4 linked regions of the Yarrowia lipolytica genome follow. The main gene of each other region encodes a partner of the protein of the gene in region 3 in a complex. Links are inferred from orthologs where the notes say so. Each region holds a gene or a part of one and is shown on either strand. Other genes may lie near its edges.

Evidence for each region.
Region 1: YALI1_B14680g (region 3) and YALI1_F31744g share a complex: the UniProt entries of both Saccharomyces cerevisiae proteins name them as parts of the mitochondrial large ribosomal subunit. The link is inferred for Yarrowia lipolytica from reciprocal best matches to the Saccharomyces cerevisiae genes MRPL4 and IMG1.
Region 2: YALI1_B14680g (region 3) and YALI1_E24343g share a complex: the UniProt entries of both Saccharomyces cerevisiae proteins name them as parts of the mitochondrial large ribosomal subunit. The link is inferred for Yarrowia lipolytica from reciprocal best matches to the Saccharomyces cerevisiae genes MRPL4 and YML6.
Region 4: YALI1_B14680g (region 3) and YALI1_D15744g share a complex: the UniProt entries of both Saccharomyces cerevisiae proteins name them as parts of the mitochondrial large ribosomal subunit. The link is inferred for Yarrowia lipolytica from reciprocal best matches to the Saccharomyces cerevisiae genes MRPL4 and RML2.

The regions. Positions count from the first base shown.
Region 1 is NC_090775.1:3,172,128-3,176,240, forward strand, and holds YALI1_F31744g (mitochondrial 54S ribosomal protein bL19m), read left to right. Parts: upstream 1-2,349; coding exon 2,350-2,895; downstream 2,896-4,113. Other genes in the region: YALI1_F31725g (uncharacterized protein), read right to left, coding at 1-396, 512-570; YALI1_F31733g (uncharacterized protein), read left to right, coding at 1,223-1,978; YALI1_F31760g (uncharacterized protein), read left to right, coding at 3,935-4,113. UniProt on the Saccharomyces cerevisiae protein: Component of the mitochondrial ribosome (mitoribosome), a dedicated translation machinery responsible for the synthesis of mitochondrial genome-encoded proteins, including at least some of the essential transmembrane subunits of the mitochondrial respiratory chain.
Region 2 is NC_090774.1:2,432,445-2,436,787, reverse strand, and holds YALI1_E24343g (mitochondrial 54S ribosomal protein uL4m), read left to right. Parts: upstream 1-2,486; coding exon 2,487-3,302; downstream 3,303-4,343. Other genes in the region: YALI1_E24360g (uncharacterized protein), read left to right, coding at 779-1,795; YALI1_E24318g (uncharacterized protein), read right to left, coding at 3,506-4,343. UniProt on the Saccharomyces cerevisiae protein: Component of the mitochondrial ribosome (mitoribosome), a dedicated translation machinery responsible for the synthesis of mitochondrial genome-encoded proteins, including at least some of the essential transmembrane subunits of the mitochondrial respiratory chain.
Region 3 is NC_090771.1:1,466,104-1,470,688, forward strand, and holds YALI1_B14680g (mitochondrial 54S ribosomal protein uL29m), read right to left. Parts: upstream 1,920-4,585; coding exon 897-1,919; downstream 1-896. Other genes in the region: YALI1_B14658g (uncharacterized protein), read left to right, coding at 1-462; YALI1_B14686g (uncharacterized protein), read left to right, coding at 2,523-2,639, 2,794-2,961; YALI1_B14733g (uncharacterized protein), read right to left, coding at 3,313-4,585. UniProt on the Saccharomyces cerevisiae protein: Component of the mitochondrial ribosome (mitoribosome), a dedicated translation machinery responsible for the synthesis of mitochondrial genome-encoded proteins, including at least some of the essential transmembrane subunits of the mitochondrial respiratory chain.
Region 4 is NC_090773.1:1,572,101-1,577,094, reverse strand, and holds YALI1_D15744g (mitochondrial 54S ribosomal protein uL2m), read right to left. Parts: upstream 2,635-4,994; coding exon 1,363-2,634; downstream 1-1,362. Other genes in the region: YALI1_D15792g (uncharacterized protein), read left to right, coding at 1-452; YALI1_D15734g (uncharacterized protein), read left to right, coding at 2,930-3,061, 3,598-4,110; YALI1_D15696g (uncharacterized protein), read right to left, coding at 4,174-4,994. UniProt on the Saccharomyces cerevisiae protein: Component of the mitochondrial ribosome (mitoribosome), a dedicated translation machinery responsible for the synthesis of mitochondrial genome-encoded proteins, including at least some of the essential transmembrane subunits of the mitochondrial respiratory chain.

The sequences.
Region 1 (4,113 bases), on a different chromosome or scaffold from region 3:
TCCTCGATGTTGGCGACCTCGTCAATCAGATCCTGAATACCCTCGATGATGTAGGGCCGGATATCTCGGTTCGCCTGTCGCAAAGCAGCCTTGTCCAGCACCTCCTCCTTCTTGTCGTTCTTCTCCAAAAGACCCAGCATGCTGCCGCTAAGCCCGCCGTTTTCGGCCTTGTGGCCGTGCTGCTCCTCCCGAATCAGTGTCAGCACTCGCGATACGATATTTCGACACGCAATCTCCTTGGGGGCGGTCTGCACCAGACGCACTCCCAGGGCACGAATGTCCTTGACTAGAGAGTCAATGTGATTCCATCTTGCGGCAGAAACAAACCGCAGAAGCAGTTGTGCCGTGGCCAGAGCAACTGCGTGTGATCCCGACAACTGTCGACGTTTCAGTTGGCTATGTTAGTTTCGGCTTGGTGAGGATGTCGTGATCCATGTCACGAGGTCTCGCAACAGCCCCGAGTTTAGGCATCGAGCCCTCTTTTTCCAGCAAGAAGCCCTCAAACACTCACCTGATGAACTGCTCAACGAAAATATCAATTTCTCGGTCGCCTCGGTTCTGACTGGACATTTTTTGGTGATGGAACTGATGCTGGAGTTTTCTCAAACTTTGCATATTGGACCTAAATTTTGATGAGAGTCACGTGTCATGCACGGTACAGTAGTGATAATCTATGGAGTCAAGAAAGTGCAATAAATGAGGAATCTGTTGTATAGAAAATTCTCGGACACAAATGATCGAACGAAAACATTGGATCGATTAGGATATCTGTGCTGTTATACTACCCTTGGCGTTTTGAATAGCGTGCGTGTTGTTTCACACACAGAGATATCTGTACATACGGCGGTTCTATGGAAGCCAGGAGCACTTCCAAAAGTGGAGAACATTTTGTACAATCTATCATGTATGCTTCGATGTCATACAGTACCATCCCCAGGAACCCTACTCCTTCGCTGCTGGCATCTGCTTGTCAATAAATAATCTCTTTATAAATAATTGTTAACGGGTAGAGGCCCAGAGAGTCTTTATCGGCTCATATAGACTCGGTGTCGGACTCAGACTCACTTTCGGATTCGCTGAAGTCCATACCAAAGAAATCTCCACCCTTGGCCTTCACATTCGAGCTGGAAGATCCTGCAGAAGATGACAAGGCAGTATCAATTTCGGATACAGCCAGAGCAGCCATCTCCGCGTCCTTTCGCATCTTCTGAACGGCATCTTCATGGTCTTCCAGCAGTCGTGTGTTTTCAAACTTGCTCTTTCGACTGGACCCACTGGTCTTTTCCTTCTGCAGAATGTTGAGCAGCTTCTGTTTCTTCTCTTCGGCCTCCTTCTTCTTGATCTCGTCGGCTGTGCTGAGGTACTCTCCAAGCTCCTTGGCCTGCCGGATACTCTTCATTCGGCGGCCGTCCAGCGTTCGAAAAGAGTCGTTCTCCGTCTCCGTCTTCTTTCTATTCTTCTTTCGGGCCATACGTCCTCCCTGGGCTCGCAGCATGGACCCGAAACCACCCTTTCCACCGCAAAGACGCATATTCCAGCGCAAGTAGATGTCACCAGCTGCAGCAGACAGGCTCTCAAGACTCTGGCCTCCTCTGGTGCTGAGATATCCCTTGGCTGTGGCGTTAGGGGGCAGTTCTTTGAGAGCGCTTTCGATAGCGACGTGGACATCATCATCAGCCAAAACGTGTTTCTGGATATCTCTCAGACCACTGGGGGTGGAGATGAATATAGTGGGCATGTCGGTGGTGGTGGCGAGGCGAGGGTTTTGTGTACCGTGGTGTTGTGCTCTGGATGGATGTTGGTGATACAAATTATATTATGGTTCAGATTATGGTGCATGGTACGAGTGAGGAAAAACTCGACCAAGCACTACATTACTTGTATGTATGTACCGATCCAGAATAAGCACTTTGGACTGGATGAGACTGAATTAGAGCGGTTGGTAACTGGTTGTGAGAAAATAATATGGGTAGAATAACAGCACCAAGACGCCATCTTCACAAAAACATTCTCGGTATCAATTTGTTTGTCACGATCTTCTCTTCTGTACCGTCTTGAGAGCCCTAAACTGTAGAAAAACAAGAAAACATTACAAAACGATTCAACAAAGGCAAACTCATTGTAGAAAGACGAAAATTACTACAGTATTCGAGCCATATGGTAGAGGAACACCACGGACGCATCGGCTCATTCATTCTTATAGCCCCTCTCCCTTTGTTTTCTCATCGTCTCGGACTCATCTTCCCAGCATTACAAACCGCAAACCCTAACCGCGACTGAAAATTTAACCAAAATAGGCCCTAGAGCACACCAACAGTCAGTATACAGCATCACCACACTTGCACAAAAATGCTGGCTCGACTGATCCGTCCATCGCTGGCAGCGGTGCGTCTGCCCGTGATGCAGATGGCCACATTCAAGACCATCAAGCGAGAGCCAAAGACCGTCAACATCTACGAGCGACACCCCCGACGTCTGGGTACCGAGAACGCTCTTACACACGTCACTGACAAGCTGATGAAGCAGTTTGATCCCCAGGGCGTCAAGATGGAGCTGATGAACCCCAAATCCGCTGACCGAATCAAGCCCGGAGACATTGTGCAGATCAAGACCACTGATGGCTCTCTGTTCACGGGCCTCACCATGGTGGTGGACTTCCGAGGACTGTCCTCTAACCTGCTGCTGCGATCTAAGATCACCAAGATCGGAATCGACCGACGATTCAAGATCTTCTCTCCAACCGTCGAGTCTGTCAAGATTATCCGACGGGCCACCCAGAAGTACACCGCCGAGCGTCTGTACTACATCCGAGGCCACAAGCGTCTGGATGTTGGCGATCTCGAGGCCTCCGTCAAGAAGGCAGCCGCCAAGCGAAAGAAGTTCCTCTTCAAGTAAATGTATATAGTGAATGGAAGGATATGGAAGGAGAGCTGAGAGTAGGAATGATGGAGGGCTGGATCACTACATGTGCTTGTATGTGACATGCCAACATGGGCAGCTTGCGAGCAGCTGTGTCACAACTCCAGTGTTCCAATATTCGAGCATGGTCACATTCAGTTCCTTACAGTGTCAGGCGGCTTCTGAATCAATGCCAAATACACAAGTGCGGCCATGTGAGATCATTTGTTCCCCTTTGCTCTAAATTACAGTAGCTTATACAGTGGAACATCTCATCTCTCGAGGTTTATCTCCTTTTTCCAATAAACAGTATCAACTAAACTGTCCCATTAGTTAAGACTCAACATGAACACTATCTATCCACCAATATTGTTTTAAATTTGCTTAAAAGCTGATACATCTGACAATATCACCAAATGAAACAATAAACACTCCTCCGATCCTCCCTCGGTCCCTCAATTCTCCGCCTTCAACACTGGCCATATCGTTAACGACTCAAGTCTGAAAGTTACTTTGCCCCGAGTAAAAGCTCGTATGACAAAACCTAGCAACATCGAAGTTCCAGCCTCTCATTGGATGGTTGGTGGTGTGACATCTATTTACACAATATAGAGACTCAATGACGGCCACAACAATACTACCAGATTGACAAACACCAACTTGCACCTTCAAACCCAAACCGTCAATCAGGCAACTTCTAGAGATGCTCATTTCAAGCACTTCCAGAGTGGAAAACTTGCTTGCAACCATGTGAAGTTATTGCATGAAAACGAAGGGATGTTCAAAGGAGTGGAAAGTGGCGAAAAAATAATTTTTGAAGGAGTAGAATGAGGAATTGGTGCCGAATTGAACGCCCCCCAGCGATTGGTATTCACATCATTCGCTCCGCTATCATACCCCTACAATACCTTTGTCTTAATTCCGCTATTGCCCATTAAAGTTACAAGTAGGGTAAGGGGGTTCTGCAAAAGTTTTAAGTGGTTGTCCCAAAATCAAGCTGTGCTTCCTTCTCTGATTACACACCCCACAACGCGAAATGTTCTTCAAAACGCTTGCTAGTGTGCGACCCGCCGCCCAGCGAGTGGCCACCTCCGTTGCCAGCAACAAGGTCCTCTTTGCCCGAGGTTACGCTGCCTTTGACCGATCCAAGCCCCACGTGAACATTGGAACCATTGGCCACGTTGACCACGGAAAGACCACTCTGACCGCCGCTAT
Region 2 (4,343 bases), on a different chromosome or scaffold from region 3:
GCTCCTTCACACAAGCGTGTCTCACACAGCCCGCTTTTCTGGTTCTCGGCACGGCTTGTTAGTCGAACTCTGCCCCTGAACAATGTGCTTTGCGTGCAGCAAAGGTGATGAGGCGTGATGGATGCAAGCGGTGCCGCGAGTTAGACCAGTGGAGGGAGGAGATTACTGAACGTACAGCACAATGAAGCCCCCGACCGGCATATGTCCACGCATCAGGAGATGTGCTGATGGGTCGGTACAAGTAGACGGCGTGCTTTTAAACAACAGTTGTGGAATGTCCAATCGAGCTTCGGTGGATAGCTGAGTCTTGTGGGACCCCTCACTTGAAGAAGAAGCCGTATAGTTATTGGCTAATGCACAGTGTGCCCGACAGCAACACCAGATTACTTTTTCTCATCACATCCATTTGACTTGCTACAGCTCAACTGCTAAGACCATGTGCAGGACATGCACCGAAGGGGACCCTTTAAGGGGAGCCCGAACCCTGGGTTGCCCGGTTGGGAATGGACTGTGATCCAAGTGGACGCCAAAACGACAGGTCCTGATAGCGTGGACGGCTGTGTGGAGCTAGCTCCGGCCTCTAGGCGAGCATAGAAATGGCTGTTATCTGTGGCTCTTGCGCCAACCACAGTCCCATAGTCTTATCGAGCTCGAAACCCTGAAGCCCCGACCCCGAAACCCACACAGTTTCACATTTACACCTAAATTCGGACACCCCTTCTCCCTCCCCCCATATTACACTCACACTCTCTTCCTTCGCCCCACACGATATGGAATAATGGACGAAGCGTTTCATTTGCAGCCCCACACCCACGTCTCGTCCAAAAAGGTGGTCGACGTGGGTGGCATCCGCACCATGGTCTACGGCCTCGAAGAGCTGCCCAAACGGTGCAAGGCCGTCGGAGTGCTTTACCTGGCCCATCCCAGGCTGCAGAACTACATGTACACCGAATATCTGGCCCACGAACTGCTCTCTCGGTGTCGCGAGGCAGCTGTGGACCGGTCGCCCGAGGCCGACCAGCGAGACCTGCCTGCCACCAACACCGGGATCGAGGCTCTCAAGGCATCCCGACCGCATGTGACAAGAACCGATTCACACACCTCGCGACGGCACTCGTACACGCCCTGGACAAACTACATTGCCGTGACGTTCGATCTGCGAAACCACGGCTCGCGAACTCTCACGGCCCAACGGTCTCTTGATTGGGAGGCAGGAAACGACACCCATGCCGTGGATATGATGTCCATCATCGACGGCTCCACAGACGACCTGCTGCTGGTCATGCAGTACCTGCCAGCAGTGCTGGACGCACAGCTCCGCAACGTGGCACCCAAATGGTACAACATTGTGTCTGGAGTGTCACTGGGAGGCCACATTGCCTGGCGATCTGTGGCCCGCAACAAGGACCAGGACATTTTTGCCATTGCACCAATAATCGGATCGCCCAGCATGCGCACGCTATTCGAGGACCGGCTGGACCAGCACCGGCAAAAGACAGGCTCCCTCAAAAACACCAACCCTCAGTGCCAATACCTGATTCCCGAGCCATTAAAGGACATCATTGCCCGTGACGACGCACGGGTATTTGACATGTCTACAGACACACATGTCTTCATTGCCACCGGTGAGGACGATGCGTTGGTCAAGGACTCATACTCGCATGAGTGGATCGAGCATTTCAAAAAGAATGGCGGTAGCCCCGAGTACGTGTGCCAGGAGGGCGTGGGCCACGTTTGCACAAACTACATGGTGACGCGCTTAGCAGAGTGGATTGTGCGGATTACCAGCGGGTGAGTGACAGTTGGTGCGTGTTGAACAACGCGTAGTGGGAGAGGTGATTCTGGCTATTCGCATTTTTTTCTTTTTCGTCCCCGCAATCGACCAATAACTAATACTAGCAAACCTGGTAGCAAGGTCTAGGTCCGCATAATCGAATATTCAGGGTGCACATCGAGGGGAAGACACAAAAACAACGACGACATTACGATTGAGGCGAACATTGGAAAAATGGTGGGTTCTCTAATCCACAGAACGAGTAATATATCATTGCATGTGCTATACCTTTTAGGTGACCTGGTGTACCGTAGCATGTGTATGACTGTGTACTATATTGATACTACAGTAGGCATGAGTTGTATTTTATCGGGTGAAATCTTTAAAAACTATAGTTCAGGTTGTACTTTGTTCTTTGGTCGGCCTTTGTATATAAATACTTAGAACTGTACGTACTATAACAACAGGACGGTACCCGTATGAAGGGGTACAAGATAAAAGAGTAAGATATGGATGCCGAAAGTTCTAGTCGCTCGAAATAAATCTCCTAATCCATTTTTTTACTCGCGCTGCTTTGATGGTTATAAATCACTATATTTATTTATCCCAGCACCACTGCTCCTCCCGCTCTGCTCACGTGACTCCAGGGTAAAATGTGCACCTGGTGAAAATTCAAAAATCTGCAGCACCATAACCCGAGACGAAACACAACATGATCCGGCGACTAATTCCAGGACTGACCTCCGGGCTACGACGGGGCTTTGCCTCCGAGGCCTCCGGAGCTGCCAAGCAGGCCACCGTCGACACACTGCCCGGCGCAGCAAAGTTGCCCGAGTTCGTTCTCACCTCGGTGCGACAGTTTCCCTCTCTTGAGCCCACACGTCTACAGCCTGTCACCTCGCAAATGCTGGGTGCTCAGGTCCACAAGGATCTGCTGTGGAGAGCCGTGGTCTACGAGGCTGATCGACAGCGAGTAGGAGCCTCCAATCCCCCTGGTCGAGAGCAGATGGGCTACTCTACCCGAAAGCTTCACAAGCAGAAGGGAATGGGTAAGGCCCGAGTCGGTGATGCTGGTTCACCCACACGAACACAGGGAGGTTTCGCGCTCGACAGAAATGCCCCCAACAAGATGGCCACCGGACTGCCCAAGCAGGTGTACGCCTCGGCCATCCGAGCTGCCCTTACGTCACAGTACCAGGAGGGTCGACTTTTTGTAGTTGACGGCCCCTGTGAGCTGCCAGAGTCCGTCAAGGACAACACAACCTTTGGACAACAGTGGCTGCAGGGCGAGCTTGGCTTTGGTAAGAAGGAGATGACCGTTTTCCTGGTTGACACCGAGCGACCCATTCTGGACTCTGTGCTCGGAAAGGACAACCTCAAGGCCGACATTGTGCCCAAGGAGTTCATTGAGGTGCGAGACATTCTCAAGGCCCGAAATGTGGTTGTTGAGTACGACGTGCTCAAGTGGCTGGCCGCCAAGTATCCCACCCGGGATCTCTTCGGCTCCTTCAAGCCCTGGACTAATTAGTGTATATAGTATAAGCATTTTGCTGTTTGATGGCGGCGTGGTAGTCGAGGTGGTGGTTGTTGTGTGGGATACGGTACGAGTACATACTGTACCGGTACAGATGTGTAAGTACGTGCTCGACGATTGTTTTGTACGCTAGTGATATGCTGCTGGCTGGTTGCTGGTTGTCTTGCAAGAAATGAATTAATTCGATATATAAATAACTAGTGTCTGTATCGGAAATAGGGAGACCTGTCGCCCATTTCAGACAGCTCGGCACTGGTAAGATGCTCACATTCGCCCGACTCAATCTTGGCCTGCTTCCTCTTGTTGACAACGTGGTAGCCAAAGTTGAGCACAATGAGAGACACGATTCCAATGCAAACAAACATGATCTCCATACCGTGACCCAGCTTGAACTCGGGCTTGTCTTCGGCTCGGTAAATGTTGGACGCAATGGCCCCAGAGAGGTTTCCAATGCCAATCTGGATGGCCATAGCTACAGCTCGTTTGTATGTACCTGCGACGTTGTTGGACATCCACGAGACAATAGCGGGCAGAGCTGGGTACAGTCCTAGTGCGATGAAGTAGCAGCCCACGTAGACTGCAGTTGGTTTTTTGTGAGACAGGTTGAAGGCCAACAAGTAGCCAAACAGCATGAATAGCAGGTTGACGAGAATGAAGGGAGATCTCTTACCATATCTGTCCGAGAACCAAGCTTGAGTCACCGAAGCTATAGCAGCAATCACGTAGATAGGGATAGTCATGAGCTGAGCTGTGGAGGAGGTGTATCCCAGGTTGTTGACAATGGTGGGAAGGAAGAGGGAGATGCCGTAGAGAGGAACCACAACTCCGAAGTAGAGAAGCAGGTGGACGTAGACCTGGATATCGGTGAAGGCGGCCCAGACGTACTTCCAGTCACGAGAGTCGTTCTGCGCTACCAGTTCACCCCCGGCACTATTGTCGTTGCCATCATACTTGAGTCTCCACACGACAAACTCCCGCTCTTCTTCGGTGAGGAATCGAGCTGTTTCAGGGAAGTCATGGACGAAGAAGAAGGCG
Region 3 (4,585 bases):
CTGGACCACGCCTACTTTCTCGGCCATATCAGCGGCAACAGCATGACCCCTGCTCTGAACCCCGACTCAAATCTTGGCAAGCGTGACATTGTGCTGTTGCAGAAATTCCTAATCAAACAGCCCGGTTACCTCAAGGTCGGAGACGTGGTGCTGCTGCGAAACCCCATGGATCCGGATAAGTTTTTGTGCAAGCGGATTCTTGGAGTGGGAGGCGACGAGATTGTGACCCGCCACCCGTACCCGCAAAAGACGTGCTTTGTGCCCTTTAACCACGTGTGGGTCGAGGGCGACAACATCCATTCGTTCGACTCCAACAACTTCGGTCCAGTGTCACTCGGTCTCATGCATGGCAAGTGTCCCAAGGTGCTGTGGCCATTTAACCGTTTTGGAGCTATTCCTGACGGAGGACGAGAGGCCCGGAAGGAAAAGTTGGGGTATGTTGATGATGTTGTTGAGGGCTAACTGCGGAGAGCGTAACGAGCCGTGGTTAGAAGCGACAAGCTCCATTGCAATCCTCTACCACTCAGAGACTGTATATATTTGCATTTGACGATTTGATGACTAATTTCAGTAAGTCATGATGAACCAATACTTGCGTAGGGTACTTTTGGACAGACAATACTGTAATGTACTGTAATGTACTCGTAGTGGAGATGGTTTCGATCTACAAGTACATACTGTAATGGAGGTTGAGGTAACCGTAGTTACATCCTCTTCCATGAAAGGCTTTGTACGCTCAGACAGGCTACACAGCATTCTCATCAGCCGTAACACTCATGAATTGTACACTATCGTCAGTAGTACAGTTGTACCCATATACAACATTTACTCCCACTCATACACACTACCCACTATCTGTTATCATATCGTTACTATATACATGACTCTTATATACATCACTCCTTGGGGAGCTTGTTAAGGAACTGGGCAGGAATGTTCTCCAGAATGTCCTGCTCGGACAGATCCAACTTTTTGTTCTTCAGAGCCTCCTCAAACACGGCGGCGGCGCCCATCTTCTCCTCCACAAGATGTTGCAGCACCCGGATGGCGTTCCAGGGAGCCACGGGCAGAGGGTTGGACTCTCGGTACTGTTTGATGTAGCTGAGGGCCTCGGCGACTCCCTCGGTGGTGTCATTAGCCAGGAACATGAGGTACTGCTCAAAAATGTCTCGCTTGGGCTGGTGCACAAAGCCGTGGTTGGCAATGGGATTGCCGTTCTCGTCGGTGGCTCCGCTGTATCGCTCGTACTTGAGCTTGGCACCGTACTTGACGGCCTCGATAATCTTCTCGTCCACCTGCACGCCAGCGTTGGCTCGGGGGTCGGTGGAGAAGCCGTAGTAGGCGACAAGGTGTCGCTCGAGCTCCAGAGACAGCTCGCTGTCGTAGACGGCGTCAGCAGTGACGTACTTTTCGTCAAATTCGGCGTTGGCCTGGGCTCGCACCTCGGGAAGCACCTGCTGGACCTCCTCAAACGCTCTGTATCGCTCGGCCAGTACGTGTCGAATGTTGACCATGGTTTCGCCGACTCGGTCATGCTCGCTTCTGTAACCACCGTTCTGGTTCTCAAAGTGCATTCGGGTGGTGACTCGTTCCTCCTTCAGAAGAATGTTTCGCTCCTTGAGACACACGTACCACAGAGCATGGAGATCCTCAAACGACTTTCGTCGCAGCTCGGCCACACTCCAGGGTCGCGTGCTGCTGTCAAAGCTCCGCTGATCCCGTACAATTTTCTTGTCCTTGCAAAAAAACTGCCACAGAGGATGCGAATCGGGTACCTCGATATTGTCCAGAGCAGGCGCAATAGGGGCCTTGAGCTCCAGCTTTTTGACAAACTCGTTGCCGGTCACGGAGCCGGGCAGCGGCTTGGGCCACTTCTTACGACCCTGTCGAACAGCCGATGTGTGTAGCGATCGGATCATGGTTGTGTATGTTCTGTTGGATACAGTCGTCAGTTGAAAAAATCGCTTGGGAATCTGGAACTTTATTCTCCCACAGGATTTCACCTCCCAAATTTCGCTCGGTAGGTGCTAGCAGAATAGGGTTTCATGTCATGTGACGCGTGTAGAGAGGATCAGTAATAGAAATGGTCTTCAGGGCACCTAATTGTTCATTAAAAAGATGTCAAGTCCTTAACATCTGACTTCTTTCAATGTCAGGACTTCCAAAACATGATGGTCCCTCTTCCTTGTGATGTTCGGCACCATATTCTCTCTCTACTGGTACAGTATGTAGTTATACCCACTCACATTTCTACCCACTACTAGTGCTATACTTACAGTCACCTGAAACGGTGTTGACGCTATATAGACCGACCACCATGCGACATACTAGACACCTATTAAGAGATCAGTTACACTAACGACATCCCCTGTTGCAACCACTACCTCCTATCATACCAATACCACATCGTCTTCTGCACATCCAGCTGCCACCTCTACACTCCTCCCAACCTACCCTAACCCCATACTCTCACCATCTCAGACACTAATCAGCATCTATCGACAGACACACCACACATCACAATGACCGACGTCGACACTTCAGGCGGCTCTGAGCCCCTTGATCTCATTGGTCTTTCTCTCAACGAGAACGTTTTCGTCAAGCTCCGTGGAGGACGAGAGCTTTATGGACTTTTGCATGTGAGTAGCAATGTGAAGGACAATGAGAAGATGGCAGGCAAGTCAAGATCGGTATGAATCGGATACATATCCACTGAACATGATACATGTGTAAATGTAATGTCTGTTGCTGTCCGCTAATGACCTGTCCTAGTCCATTCTGTTACTAACCCAGGCCTACGATATCCACTGCAGTATGGTGCTTGGAAACGTAGAGGAAACAGTCTTCGAGTACGTGGAGGGCAGTCCAAAACTGGAGGCCCGAAAGAAGAAGAGCGAAATGCTTTTTGTTCGAGGAGACTCGGTCATTCTGGTCACCTCTAACCCCCCGAAGCGACCTTAGGGCATGTATTATAGTAATGGATGGTTTGAATAGTGCAAGCTTGTGAGCGCCGTAACCTGGCTAGAGGACGTCTGGAAACAGGCGCCCCTAGGTGTATTCGCATGAAATTGCGGTGTAAGGATTGTGACAATATACAGGTTCTGCATAGATCGTCCTATTCTGAGTAGAACATCAAGGTCGCTACCGTTGTCTATAGAATTTCAAAAATGGTTAACAGAGTCAGGATCACAAATACTTTTACTTGCAATTACAAATAGGAGAAATGTCAACTACGCCAGCATTCACCTCACGATTTATGACAGTATATCTATTTATACAAGCTATTTTATATACGATGAACGATGAACCTCCCTAAATACTATTTCGCCGGGCAATGGTTCTCTTATGTTTGGTCTTAACATTCTCCATTCCAGGGATAGCAGGAAACTTGCCATCCTCTCGCAACTCGGTCAGGAACTTGTGGCCGTACTTGTTACCTACCCTATAGATGTCAAGGAATTTGGCGAAGTCAAGAGTAGCAAAATCGTCAATGGGGGGACGCATGTAGATGACGCCAGGGGTGTGCTTAGCCTTCTCAAGAGCACCCACTGATGATACGTATGCCAACCGAGCCTGAATTTCTGCCAGGTTGGGAACATTAGGATGTCGACCAAAGGGATTCCATCGGTTCCACATGACCCATGCACCAGACAAGGAGTCACCGTAGTTCATGGGAGTGGTATCGTCGATAGATCCGACATCTACGGCAAATACCACGGAGGCTCCCTGAGCCTTCATCTCCGAAACAGGCAGGTTATCAACATAACCTCCATCCAACAACATAGATCCATTGTCTGTCAAAGGAGGAAGAAGACCAGCAAGAGACATACTTGCTCGAATGTATCTCCACGCATATCCAGATGTGTGGATCTCCATTCTAGAATGAGTAATGTTTGTCGTGTTAGTGAAGTATCGGAGCCAGAAGTCTTCGATACGGGAGTCGCCAAAAGCTTTCCAGATTCCTCGGTTGAACTCGTGACCAGTGGTGTATGAGGTGGCAGGATAGGTCAGATCCAAAGCCATACGCCAAAGAGAAGATACTCGTCCAGAGAACTTCTTGGCTCGTCCATAGATGGGCACCAGATCGTATTCTTTGGCATAGAGCCCCCCTATGAAGGAACCGATGGAAGTACCTCCCACGAAATCAATAGGAATACCAGAGTCTTCGAGAGCCTTGATAATTCCAATATGGGAAATACCTCGAGCTCCTCCTCCGCCAAGAACAAGTCCAATAGCTTGTCCAGAGAGGATTCTGGCAAGTCGATTGAAGTCGTCCTTGTTGGCCGAAGACGTGCTATAGATGTTAGCCTTGGGGCGGTACATGGAACGGAACTCTTCTTGGATCGTTTGGACCTTGTTTTTGAGGTTCGCGAGGGTTCCTGTTCGCTTCATCTTTCGGATACTGGCCAGGACATCAGCTTCATGACGAGGAAGATCCATCTGAACGTGATGATGGGTGTGAACCCACACTCGAGGCTTCAACCACGCACTAGTGAGTCCAGGAGGAACGTATCGTTCAGGGTGAATGAGAACCATCTCGGTTCTGGCAGTGGTTCGCATCTTCACCAGCACACGTTCGTACTCA
Region 4 (4,994 bases), on a different chromosome or scaffold from region 3:
CCAAGCCCGGCACCCCGCATCCGGACTTTTACTTTGTCACTAACACCCCGCCGGCTTCGAACACCTTCTTTGAGTCGTTCCAGCCCATGCAGCTTTTCCCCGACGTGACTGGCGATATGTCTAACCTGCAGTCGCAGCTCCAGGAGCCCGCCACCAGCGCGCTTCCTCCGGACATGTTTGCCCACGCCGACGGAGCCAGCCACACCGAAGGCGGCACCTACAAGTCGTCGCCCGAGGACGAGCCCACCGCGGCCAGTGGATTTGGATACGCCCCTCAATCGCTCAATATTGGCGACTGGTACCAATATCTGATGATGAACGGTGAAGGGGGTGCTGCTGCTGGCGCTGCTGCTGGCACTGCTGCAGGCGCCCCTGGTTCTGTTCCTCCAGGTGCTCCTGCTGAGGCTCATCCTGAAGCTGCCACTTCCAACTCTTGGAATGAGTCTCACTAAAGGAAAAAGAGAGGTTCAAATGAACTCGACGCTCGGTTCAAAAAAGAGAAGTGTTCTTCTCAAGTATTATAATATATATTGGTTTTATTGAGTGGGCTAGGGTTTTTGGGTGAATGTAGACTTTTAAAGGGGAACACAGTGGGCCAGCTTGGGTTTGGTCCATGAAGTACGAGTATCGTATATAGTATAAAGACTAGACATATCTATGGACAGACACCTTGAATACTGTATCTGAATTGCGTCTTGTGTGCCTTGTATGTGCCTTTTCTGATCCTGTAGTAGGCATATTCGCGGCTCAAGGCTGACTACTTGCAGGATGTGTCTTGACTAATAGTTAAGGTATAAGTATTCACCAACAACGCGTCAACCAACGAAACCTAACTCACATCTTGCAAACTGGAATACTGAGGCATAACAGTATTACAAAGCAAAATATTGTCGTTTATTTGTTCAGATCTTGTATATTCTGTATGTAATGATACTATTTGTTTCTTGCTAACATGCCAGCAACCCTGAAATGTATACCATCAGCATGAATTATCTCCAACTATTACCAACCAAACAATCTTAACTAAGTAACTAGATGCAGCGTTCTTCGTTCCAGGGCTCGCTCAGCATGATTGGATACGTGCAACATTAACAACCACTTACACCACCGCCATACTGGTACGAGTGCAGCACAAGTAGTTGTATCATACTTGCACGAAGCCCTCTGTTCCGTGTCTCTGCTTTGTCTACATTATACCTCTGTCTTGATGTATGGATTGTGTTAACATACATAGATGGTTCAACAATATATATTGCAGTTCCATGGCAGCTGATCATACCAGTACATACTTTGGTCACTCTTTTGAGTCAGTCGTTTTCGTTCGTTCGTTCAATACGGTCCCGTTCACTTATACTATATACATTACTTTCGCTGCTCCTTGTATCGAGGTCGATCCTTGAGCTTGTTGGGGTTCTGGTGCTTGCCTCGTCGGGTCTTGTATCGCTTGGCCAGCACGCCCCAGATGGATCGCGACGTCACGTTACCCTTGGACTTTCCTCGTCCACCTCCGTGGGGATGGTCGCAGGCGTTCATGGCTACACCTCGCACGGTGGGTCGGATACCTCTCCATCGCGATCTGCCGGCCTTTCCGAACGACTCGTTCTGATGGTCAGGAGCAGACACCACACCGATGGTGGCCGAGGCCTTGAGATGCACGTATCGCTCTTCGCCACTCTGCATTCGCACGATGGCCTTGTTCTTGGCGGGCTCCTTTCCAATGAGACGTCCGTAGGTTCCGGCAGCTCGGCAGAACTTGGCCTTGCCGTGGGGCTCGGTGGAAATGGCGTGGATGACGGTACCCACGGGGATCATCCACATGGGCAGACAGTTGCCCTTTCGACACAGTCGGTAGGCCAACATGGCGGGGTCGGTCTGGCCGTGGAACTCGTCAATGATGTTCTGGGGGATGCCGTTGAGGAACGACTGCACCGTGTCACCGGCTCGAGTACCCTCGGGAGCAGTGATGTAGGAAAAGTTGCCGGACTCCTTGTTCTTGAGGAGCGCAATGTGGCCGCTTCGGTTGGGGTCTCGCTCGATCCGCACAACCTCGCACTCTCCAGTCTCCTGTCGGAAGAAATCAATGAGCCGCACTCGTCGTCGGTGTCCTCCACCCTGGTGTCGAGTCACGACTCGGCCAGTGTTGCTACACCGACCGTTTCGGGCCTTTCGGGCCACAGTCAGAGCCCGGTGGGGCTTGCCCTTCCACAGGTAAGGGTAGATGGCAGCCTTGTACCATCGCATGGAGGGCGAGATGGGAGTCATGGTCTTGAACTTGACGGCGGCCTTGGTGATCTTGCGCTGGCTCTTCATGTAGATATCCTGCTTTTCCAGAGCAGTCAGATCGACCGTTTCGGGCACCAAGGTGATGTCGCTGACACTGGTGTTTCGGGCAAACATGGCGGCCTCCGAGTCCACAAACGGCTTCATTCGAGTGGGTCGGACCCGCTGACGCTTGGGAGTGGCGCCCTTGATCTCCTCGTCGATAAACGAGTCCTCAGCCACGGGGGGCTGCTGCTCCTGTCGCAGTCTGGGAAAGGTCGAAAAGGCCCGCAAGGGAGCCAGCGAGATGGCCGGCTGGATCGCTCCGATACGTCCAATTCGGGCCGACAGGTGTCGAGAGACGAGTCGGTTCATTTTGTCGAGGTTGGGGCGACGGTACGGAGGTTTAGTATTTTCGCTTTTGGCACCTTGTTCACGGTGATATGATTTGAAATTTCGCACCTGCACTACCCCAACCCTGATTTACCGCTTACGATTCCTCCCAACCGGTACCACAAGTACGGGCTCTATAGTGTGGAGGCGTGCCCAGAAATACGCTACCACCCAGCGTGCACGCCCATTGGCTCAAACCGAAAAATGGTGCGCCCCGTTTTCCTCCCCCGTGTACATATCGACACAGTTCAGCTCAGACACAACACCACACCTCAAGATGTTCGCTTCCCGAGCCATTCGAATGATGTCCATGCGGCCCATGGCCCGAACCATGGCCACCAAGGCCGCCGCCCCTGTCAAGGTCCCCGTCCAGCTCTTCGGCCTCGACGGTACTTACGCTACTGCTCTGGTGGGTATAATTGTGTTTTTTGGAAGGATGGAGGGGACGGTTTTCCCGGAGGAAACGGTGCAATTGGAAACGACGACAGCGAGGAATTGACAAGAACTGAATTGGCCTGATGGGTCGTGTTGCAGATGCAATTCGACTGGAATGATACCCTTGACACGTGGATGGATGCAATCATGGTGGTACTGTAGTAGAGGCCAGCACAACACTACTCAACATAATGCAGGAAGGGAGAGGAGGAGAGGAAGGATCAATGGGAGGCAACATGCAGCTGGCTGATTTAACGACGAATTGAGCAGCTCTCAGAGCTCGATATCGTGTTTTGTCAACCTTTTTGTTGCGTGTAACCTCGTGTAACCTCGTCACTGTAGGTTAATTGCTCAATGTTGGGGTAACACACACTCTATGGAGTAACAAGACGACATGCGCAATCCCTCTTCCCATGCCAACTTCGTACATTCTTCCAAGGCTCGACGTCAATTCCCAACACGCCAACTCCAGATAACACTTCCAATCTCTATTGCTATTTACTAACTCAGTACACCGCCGCCGCCAAGGAGTCTGACCTCTCCAAGACTGAGGGCTCTCTCGCCAAGCTGCGGGACGTGTTCGCTCAGCAGCCCGAGGTTGCCCAGATTGTCTCTAACCCCACCCTCTCTCACGAGGACAAGCAGACTGTCGTCAACGTCCTGTCCCAGGCCGTTGGTGGAGACAAGACTCTCACCAACTTCCTGACCGTCATCTCCGACAACAACCGACTGGCTCTCATCCCCGGTATCATTGAGAAGTTCGAGACTCTCGTCAACGCATCCAAGGGTCTCGTTGAGGCCACCGTCACCTCTGCCTCCGAGCTCGACAAGAAGACCGTCAACCGAATCCAGGCCGCCATTGCTGGCTCTTCTTTCGTTGGTGAGGGTGAGCTCAAGCTCAACCTCAAGGTTAACCCCGATATCCTCGGTGGTCTCATTGTCGAGGTTGCTGAGCGAACCGTTGACGTCTCTGTCGCCTCCAAGATTGCTCGACTCAACCACGTCCTTAGCGAGCCCATCTAAATAGACATGATTTAAATGATTGAATGTTATACGCTTACTTCGACTTCTGTAGTATTAAAAATGCTATCTATTTGCAGTAGTTTCTTTTTTAACCAAGTTTCCCTTACTCCTCTTGGAAGATGCAAATCCATCAGCAACCACAGTCTTCTTCCTCTTCTTTCTCACCGGCAGACCCTCGAAGTGAACCAGAGAGTTCTCAAACTGGTCGTGTTTATCGACCTTGATATACAGCGGGACAGGCTTGTCAAAGAACGCGACTTCGTCTGTCGTTCCTTTGTGAAGATTCTCCATGGATGTTAAAGCGTAGTTGAGAAGCGTTTCTCGCAGCTGGTCGTCGTCAACCATTTCCTTTGGGGTTTCGTCATTAGCATCTGAGATCTCCGTTCGACGTCGATAAATATCTTCCTCCAGAGTATCTTGGAGTACGAGGGTCTCTACGTGCACCTCCGACTTTTGACCAATACGGTGAGCTCGCTTGATAGCCTGAGCTTCGATGTCTCGTCTCCACACGGGAGAAAGAAAGAATACCCACGAGGCAGAGGTGATGTTGAGACCATGCGCAGCAGCGTTGATGTTCATGAGAAGTACCTGGAAGTTGTCCGTCGCTTCAAACGTGGCGAGATACTGGGCGCGTCTCTCCTTTGAAACCTTGTCTGTCGTGTAAATGAGGTGCTTGATCCCTACTGCTTCAAAGGCCTCAGCAACAGCGACGGCTGAGTCCACGTCTTCGTAAAAAACAATGATCTTGTGATCTTTAACAAGAACAAGAGTCTTGGACACCAGGTAAGACAACTTGGACGAGCCAGTTCCGACAATTGTGGGTTTGTCACTCACTGGATAATCCGCCTCCAATTGCGAATGGTGATTTTGAGGCGCTCCTGTAG